Macaca fascicularis: one gene and its partner. The protein of the gene in region 1 interacts with the protein of each later gene in a biochemical or structural test. Links are inferred from orthologs where the notes say so. Each region holds a gene or a part of one and is shown in the gene's direction. Other genes may lie near its edges.

The links.
Region 2: the proteins of ARFIP2 (region 1) and ARF5 form a complex in vitro, tested with the Homo sapiens proteins (2 studies listed by BioGRID). The link is inferred for Macaca fascicularis from reciprocal best matches to the Homo sapiens genes ARFIP2 and ARF5.

Annotation. Positions count from the first base shown.
Region 1 is NC_088388.1:59,599,349-59,603,680, forward strand, and holds the start of ARFIP2 (arfaptin-2), read left to right. Parts: upstream 1-1,515; 5' UTR 1,516-1,616; intron 1,617-2,388; 5' UTR 2,389-2,430; coding exon 2,431-2,529; intron 2,530-2,780; coding exon 2,781-2,877; intron 2,878-3,586; coding exon 3,587-3,705; intron 3,706-3,885; coding exon 3,886-4,107; intron 4,108-4,192; exon of another isoform or gene 4,193-4,266; intron 4,267-4,332. Other genes in the region: TIMM10B (mitochondrial import inner membrane translocase subunit Tim10 B), read right to left, coding at 629-805, 997-1,092, 1,294-1,329. UniProt on the Homo sapiens protein: Plays a role in constitutive metalloproteinase (MMP) secretion from the trans Golgi network. May have important functions during vesicle biogenesis at certain cargo subdomains, which could be predominantly utilized by secreted MMPs, such as MMP7 and MMP2.
Region 2 is NC_088377.1:169,261,564-169,265,917, forward strand, and holds the start of ARF5 (ADP-ribosylation factor 5), read left to right. Parts: upstream 1-1,549; 5' UTR 1,550-1,638; coding exon 1,639-1,705; intron 1,706-2,223; coding exon 2,224-2,304; intron 2,305-2,628; coding exon 2,629-2,738; intron 2,739-3,203; coding exon 3,204-3,275; intron 3,276-4,085; coding exon 4,086-4,211; intron 4,212-4,332; coding exon 4,333-4,354.

The DNA of each region.
Region 1 (4,332 bases):
ATCCAGCAGAATTCTAGACATATAAGACATAGTTCACAAAACAACAGTTATGAACCAACAAATACTTGGTTCACGGTTATAAGCCATTGAAGTCAGTCAGACTTAAGGACAACTAGACAGAGCTCCCATTTTCTGTCATCTGGGCAGGAACCAATCTCCTTTTGTATCAAATGGCCTTCTGGTACATTCTGGAATCTTGCTTCCTCATCTATTTAGTGAGGCTAATACCGCTTACTTGTAGTTTTGTTGTAAACTAAGATAAAGCCTGACATATTACTCATTTTAAAATTGTACACACAGACCCTGCTTTAACCAGATGCCTGCAAATACTCAGGTTTTCCTTCTACATATAGAAGACAACTTATCAGCTGCCAGGGCTGAAGCCAGCAGATATGGCTAAATGACAGAACAAAGGATTATGCCAATAAACTATGCAAAGCTTCCTTGCCCAGAATATAAATCAAACAGAGTAAAAAGCGAGTATATTGGCTCCAGGAAAAGGAGCAAGGACAGCCAGTTTTCAGGCGACCTCGAATTCTCTCCGTTTAGGATTCACCAACCCTAAGGTCCACTGGGTCCTTCAATCTGAGGGTCCATCCAGGGCCTTCCCTCCTGGGGTTGGAGATGGCTAGCTGCCTGATGGAGAGACCCCAGGCTGCTCAGCAGCAACGCCTGGCACAGCCGAGACAGCCTCGTAGTCTGCGATGCGGCGCTGTACCAGGGCAGGCATGAGCTGCACGTAAGCGGCCATGAGGCGGTGGTTGGAATGGATCAGCTTCCCAGCACAGCTGTGCAGACAGGCCTCCTAGAAGGAAGATAGGGTTTAAGCGGAGGACAAAGGTGTCCTGTCGGGCCCGCCTCCGTCCTTCCCCATGCACAGCCTAGGGGTGAGGGTCTGGGAAGGCCAGGACCAGAGGTAGGGGAAGTGGGGTGAGGAGGGAAGCAGTCTACCGCTAAACTCTGTTTGCAGCGTAACCTCCTTACACAGTTCCCCACCTCCTCAGCGTCCAGAGCTCGGTGGTGCAAGCTGGGCACACAACGCTGGAAGCAGAGTTCTGTCATCCGATTGTAGACCAACAGGAAGTCACGCAGCTGGGAGAAAACCGGGACCACGAACTCAGCGATATGTGCCCCACACTTCTACTCAAGGTCGCGCCGCCCAAAGTTTCCCAGGCCCGCGCACCATAACCCGAAGTTTCCAGCCCTCAGATCCCTGGCTCTATGGGGTTTCCGCGATGTGTGCAGGAATGCGAGCTGAACGTCTGGCCCCGAAACGACTTAGTTCTCACTCACGTTTCTCAGTTGCTGTTGCTGCTGCTGCTGCTCCATCACGCCACCGGCGCATGCTCTACGCCACTTCCTTTTCAGCTTCTCGGTGCCGCCCCGGAAGTAACCTCTCGCTGCTCTCGAGAACCAAGCTAGAGTATCGCCCTGCCCCGGCTTCGACGTCACTTCCGCCCTTATAATCTGCGACGTGGCCGGCTTCTTCTGCCCGGAGAGGACGTCACTTCCGCCGAGTCCCTGACCTGCTGCTAGGATCGCGACGGGAACTGGAGCCCGAGGTCCCCGCGCGGCCCGGGCCTGGCGCCCTGAGGGGAAGAGCGGCCCGGCCCGAGGTGAGAGGGACATGCTTGGGCGACGGGAAGTTGAACGCACAAACCTGTCCAGAGGGCAAGATGCCCCGAGCCCTGGGGAAGAATGAGGACACACCTGATGTCCAGGTGTATGGGGGTGGGGGCGGGGACTCACATACCTGGGAGACTGACTGTGGAAGGGATCACCGATATCCTGGTAAAGACAGGCTTTTGCCAGAGACTGGGAACATACACCAACTGATCTAACTAAGGCCTGGTGGGGAGGGCCCAAGGAAGAGGAGTTGTATGAGACGGAGGAGGGGAGACCCCCTGAAGGAAGGGGGAAGAAACACTAAAGGAGTGAGAAAGGCCAAGCAATGGAGAACAAACCTGAATGGGGGGTGAAGACCTGAGCCCTGGAAAGGGTCCATCTCCTGCTCAGCATAAACACGCCTGCATGGAGATAAGTTCTAAGAGAGCTACTTTCCCTCTTCACTGTTGTATTTTCATTGTCACAAATAGTACCTGACACAGAGTAGGCACTCACTAAATGTCTGCTGAATGACTGAATGAGTGTAGAATAATCACCAGAGGCCTGGTGAGGTTGGGGGCTTGTGAGAAGACACCGTGCTTTGGTGTGCCTGTGTACAAATGTGCATTTTGGAGGGGAGAAATACATATACCTGAAGAAAGGAATGATGACCAAACGCTGGGACACTCAAACCCTGGGACAGCCTTTAAAGAAATGACAGAGGAGGCTTCCTTCTTCTAGAGTGCTGGCCAGTGCCCAGAACTTCTGTGTTGGGCTTTGCAGGGTGCTGGGGTGGAGAGTTTTACTCCAATACCTTTCCTAGCCATGACGGACGGGATCCTAGGGAAGGCAGCCACAATGGAGATCCCTATCCACGGGAACGGTGAAGCCAGGCAGCTTCCTGAAGATGATGGGCTGGAGCAGGTGCTTCTGTTTGATTCTTCTAATTGTTTCAATTTAGGAATCCAATTTATAAATCCTGGGTTCTCACCCTCCATTCCAGTAGCCTTCCCCTGAACTTATCTGACTCCCTTAATTTTACATATCATTTTGATTCTGTGCAGACTTCCCTTGTGTAGTGTCTTTATGATGCTTGAATCCAAACTTGTTCCCACCTCCAAAATGCTTCTGCAGTCCCTATGTTCCTGAAGCAACCCCTCTTCTCTGGCCTATAGGACCTCCAGCAAGTGATGGTGTCAGGACCCAACCTCAATGAAACCAGCATTGTGTCTGGTGGCTATGGGGGCTCTGGTGATGGACTCATCCCCACAGGTATGAACAGAAACAGGAAGCTTGGGTGGAGGAGGGGACAGGAATGGTTTGGGGAAGCATAGGATATGTCTAGGAAAGCTTGAATAATGTCTGGAGATCTTAGGAACTTCTGCTTGTAGGAATCCCATGGACTCTCCTCAGCCCAAAAGCAACTCCCAGCATTGTCCATCCATTTCCCTTTTGCCACTTGGCCCCTGAAATGGCTCATTCGTCCTTTCCCTGCCACCACCTGAGTCAAGTTAAGACCTACTTCACAGGAATGCCCCCGCTCTACAGCTTGAGGCTGAGTTGGAACTTTGTGAGGCTTTTCAGAATTTTTAGATTCTAAAGTTTAGAGGAACAAACAGCCCTGAATCTCACACTAAGATTCCACATGGGAATGCAACCAGGTTTCTTGTTATCATGACCCACCATCCTTGACTCCTGCTGCCCCCAAACTCAGTGTATTTTCTTCTGTTTCCTCTGCCCCTATACACCAACAACTCCCTGCAAACCTCTCCTCTGGCCTCCAAGGAGGCCATATGTATATCAGGATTTGGTTATCACTGTGCAAGGTCCGAGTTCCTCCTAGTAAACAGGAGAATCCAGTTGTCTCTAGCATCTCCTTCAGGGAAGTCAATTTCATGTGCTGGGAGAGAAGCATGGGTGGGGCCACAGAGGTGTCTGGTGTATCTGAGAGAGGCTGGTGTCAGAGAACTTGATCCTTTAGGGTCTGGCCGCCATCCATCTCACAGCACCACTCCTGCTGGCCCTGGAGATGAGGTGGCTCGGGGCATTGCTGGAGAAAAGTTTGACATCGTCAAGAAATGGGGCATCAACACCTATAAGGTAGGATTTGAGCACCTCTCACTTCCCCAAAACTCGTTATGGGTACCTTTTTCCCCTTTCCTCATGATCGTAATATCCCATCTGTGGCTGAGAGTAGGAGCCTGGGTGGCGTTGGGGTAGATACCTGTTGTGTCGGGAGGCTATTAGGGTCTCTGATCTATTGCCCCGTTTCCCAATCAGTGCACAAAGCAACTGTTATCAGAACGATTTGGTCGAGGCTCACGGACTGTGGACCTGGAGCTAGAGCTGCAGATTGAGTTGCTGCGTGAGACGAAGCGCAAGTATGAGAGTGTCCTGCAGCTGGGCCGGGCACTGACAGCCCACCTCTACAGCCTGCTGCAGACCCAGCATGCACTAGGTGATGCCTTTGCTGACCTCAGCCAGAAGTCCCCAGAGCTTCAGGTGCCTCACCCAGACCAAAGAGGGTGGGGGAACTGGGCATGGGCCCTCCCAGGCAGTCATTCGTCATCCTCCCTCCCTCCTGCAGCCCACAGGGAGAACCCCTTCAGGGTGGGCCCAGCCCTACCCCCAGCAGCACTCACCTGTGGAGGCAGCCTAAGGGTTTGTACAGAGGTCCAGAAGTTGGAGGGGGTGGGGGAGGGGGCACACTAGGTGCTTCACAAATAA
Region 2 (4,354 bases), on another chromosome or scaffold:
GCTAAATGTAGAATTGATCTAACTTGGTGAACACTAGTTCTGTTATTATATTGGAACTCTCTAAAATGTACTCTTCAGCCTCATAAAAGCCTTCTTAGTGATGCAAATCTATGACTGAAGGAAAAAGGAAAGTCATGCACTCACTCCTATCTGTTTCCCAAAGTCTGTCCTTGGTATAGACTTTGCAGGTCAGGATGGGGCAGGACCTGGAGGTCTGTTCAGACCCCGTTTCTCAGTGGCCCAAATAACATCAAGCTGTATTATACATAACACTCAGTCACATTATCTCATCATTTTAATATTCACCATAACCCCTTAAGTTAGAACAAGTCTCCTTTTATAGATGACGAAATAACAGAAGAGTTATGAGGAGTGTTGAAGCCAAATCCTCAAGAAATGGCAGAATTAAGATTTGAACTAAAGCCTGAAACCACGTGCTGGCATGTGGTGGGTGCACAGTAAATATCTGCTGAAAAAGCAAATGAATGAATGAAGGGTTTTTTATTCCCAGCTCAGTTTACCTCGAGTCCATAAACAATTGATCCTAGAAGCCCACTGGGAACCCAGAGTAGGCATAACACCTGCCCTTGCTCCATTGGGAATCTATCAGTCCAGTTCAACTGAACAAGCATTTGTTAGGCCTATATTAAATGCATGGCATTGAGCCAGTCTCCACCGCAGAAGAATTTCATTCCTATTTTGCTATTCTCCTCTCAGATGCTAAAATGAGGCAGGGAAATGACATGTGAAGCTCTTTGGGTCTAGGGAGTCAAGATCCTCACAAAATCCTGAATGGGTGTGCAAGAATAAGCCAGGTCCACCAGTCTGTGGCAAAATGAGGCCCTTCAGCAAAGCGGCCAGCGCCTGGACTGAGAGGCGGGGCCCGCAGGGCGATCTAAGCGAAGGTGGACTTCAACAGCCCAGGAGTGGGTCTGCGACCACGCCGCCCAAGGCCGGGAATCTTACACTGGTTCCGCTGATTGGGAATTACGAAGTAGGCGTTTTGAGGAACCATGGAAGCTAGCTAGCACTTGGGCACCTACCCCTACCTCCGGCGCACTCTTCAAACGACCACCTCCTACGCGCAAGATCCTCAGTGGAAGATGAGGCGGTAAAGGGAGGACCAAGACCCCTAAGCGCATCTTCCGCTCCCCAAAGGAGAGTGGTGCGCACGTTCAGTGCTACTGGTTCCCAAGAGCTAAAACCGGAGCCCTAGCGGCCTGGACGCCACAAACCAAAGCCCAGCGGCCGGCCACTGAAAATGGGGGCAGAGGCCGATGCGGAGCGATGAAGCCTTTCCTCAGCCGCGCTCGGGCTGCCGGTTTGGCGGCCATAGGCCTGACAGGCACATTGGAGACCCAGACCCGTTCCCAAATAAGGGCAGCGCGGGACCCAGGCCAGAGGCGGCTACTCGCGGAGCTTCGGCTTCCCCAGCAGCCAGGCCCGGGGTGGGGCGGGGCCCAGAGCCGGGGGCGGGGCCCGGGTGGGGGCGGGCCCGCGGTGACGTCGGGAGGGCAGCGACGCGCGGAGGCGGTGGCGGAGCCTCCTCCTGCTGCTGCTGCGCCCCATCCCCCCGCGGCCGGCCAGTTCCAGCCCGCACCCCGCGTCGGTGCCCGCGCCCCCTCCCCGGGCCCCGCCATGGGCCTCACCGTGTCCGCGCTCTTTTCGCGGATCTTCGGGAAGAAGCAGATGCGGATTCTCATGGGTGAGGCAGATCGAGCGCGCGGCCCGGACCGGGGCGCCGGCCCCGGCGCAGCCCTTCCGCCCCCGCGTCCCTCCAGCCCCGCTCACCTGGGGCTCTGGCCCCGAGTCACCCACCTCCTAACGCCCCGGGGCCTCAGCTCTCGGGCGGGTCCCGGTCTGCAGCGCCGACCCCGGGGCCTGACACCCGGAGCTGCGGGCCTGGGTGGGGTGAAGCTCCCTCCGCCCCTGCCCGGCTGATAAGAAGGGAGGATTCCGCCCTTGGAGACGACTTTTAAAAGGAGCGCGGCCTACCCCCCGTGCCCCTTGCATCCCAGCCCTTTCCCGCGCCGCGCCCTCTTTGGAGTTGGCTCACGCCACCCAACTGCCCTCCAGGCCCCGAAGGTAGATAACGACGCGCACCTGGAGGCGCTCCCGCTCTCCGCCCCCGTCACCATCAGCTGTTGTGGCCTCTTCATTTTCCCTGGTCTCTAGGGGGCTCCCTCGCTCCCATCTCCATCCCTGTGCCCCTCTCCGTTGCAGTTGGCTTGGATGCGGCTGGCAAGACCACAATCCTGTACAAACTGAAGTTGGGGGAGATTGTCACCACCATCCCAACCATAGGTGAGCCCGGGGACGAAGCAGGGAGCGGGAGCGCCGCGGCGGGCCCTCTCGGGGTCTGCTCCCAGTTCTGCCACTTTTCTGGAGCTGACCCTGACACCAGATACAGCTATTTGAGAAGTGGGTCAGGGTATCTCTACGTGGATACCGGAGGCGGGGTGGATGTGACCTAGCCCCGCCCTGTTGACCGGCAGTTCTGGGGTTCTGTTCCCCTGGGCCTTGATCATTGCCTTCTGGTTTTGTGTCCCTGCTGAGATCTAAGTAGTTTCAGTGAGTTCCCTCCTTTCAGGAGTTTTTCTCATATTTTTTTTTCCCAATTATCTGCAGGCTTCAATGTAGAAACAGTGGAATATAAGAACATCTGTTTCACAGTCTGGGACGTGGGAGGCCAGGACAAGATTCGGCCTCTGTGGCGGCACTACTTCCAGAACACTCAGGTGGAGTGTTGGGAGGGGACTCTAACCCCACGGGAAAAGGTGTTAGGGCTGGGAGAACAGAATTGTTGGCCTGGGCTGGGCCCCCAGGCCAAGGAGAAAACCCTTCCCCGCTTCTCCCCCCTCTGTTTGGCTACCCTCTACTCACTCTTCAGAGCTCACCTTAGTCTTCACCAGCTTGAACTTCTCTTTAGAAGCAGGATTCTGGGGCCAGGCTGCCTGATTTAGCCCTCATCACATGTCTTTATTTCCTTGCACTTCTTTAGATAAACTACTACTTCTTTGCGGTGGGGTCTCTAGTTTGTGCTGGGACTTCTGTAGAGCTTCTATGGAGTTCTGTAAACTTCTGTAGCGTTTACTAGATGAGAAGGATTGACACAATTACAGACGGCAAGAGAAGAGAAAGGGCCACACTACAGTATGTCCCAGGCAGGAGTGATTGCTTCTCCTTTCTTCCTTCTTGCCCAGGGCCTCATCTTTGTGGTGGACAGTAATGACCGGGAGCGGGTCCAAGAATCTGCTGATGAACTCCAGAAGATGGTAAGTACCCAGAGCCCTGGGAACTGAACCCTCAGGTTGGGGACAGAGTGATCTCTCTAGTGCTATAGAAGTCAGGGAGCCCCCAACAAGCATTGAAGACCAGAAATACAAGTTTTTCTTTATGGACAGATACATTGTGTATCTCACCGTTTTGGATGGGACTGACTTTCTGTGCATTCTCGTGTCTTTTTTTTTTTTTTTTTTTGAGATGGTGTTTTGCTCTTGTTGCCCAGGCTGGAGTGCAAAGGCACAATCTCGGCTCAACCTCTGCCTCCCGGGTTCAAGCAATTCTCCTGCCTCAGCCTCCCGAGTAGCTGGGATTATGGGCGCCTTCTGCCATGCCCAGCTAATTTTTGTATTTTTAGCTGAGATAGGGTTTCACCATGTTGGCCGGGCTGGTCTCGAACTCCCGACCTCAGGTGATCCACCTGCCCCAGCCTCCCAAAGTGCTGGGATTACAGGCATGAGCCACCGCGCCCAGCTGCATTCTCATGTCTTTACATCTGAGTCTGAGAAGTTGCAGGGGAAATGGGACTTATATGTGGTAAAGAGAAACATTTTACATTCTTGCCTTTTCCATTTGGAAATGTTGTCATTTTGCCTAGGCAAGTACTCAAATTAGGAAAAGGTCTTTCATTTCTGGACTTATGGCTCAGGTCACCTCAAGCGCATTTATAACTATGTCTTGTCTTCAGTGGCAGACTACACAATATTTTTTTTTCCAATCAAGATCCTAGGAGGTAGAAAGGGAATTCCCCATACAGTAAAGAAGACGCAGCCTGGGTCCCATCTTCTCTTCTCCCCTCTCAGCTGCAGGAGGACGAGCTGCGGGATGCAGTGCTGCTGGTATTTGCCAACAAGCAAGACATGCCCAACGCCATGCCCGTGAGCGAGCTGACTGACAAGCTGGGGCTACAGCACTTGCGCAGCCGCACGGTAAGGGTCCTGCCCACCTGGTGCTGAATCCTGCCTCTTTAGGGAGGCCACAGGCTGGGACAGGGATATAAAGGCCCTTTTGTTCCTGGTTGCTGACCTCTTTCTTTCCTTTTCCCCACAGTGGTATGTCCAGGCCACCTGTG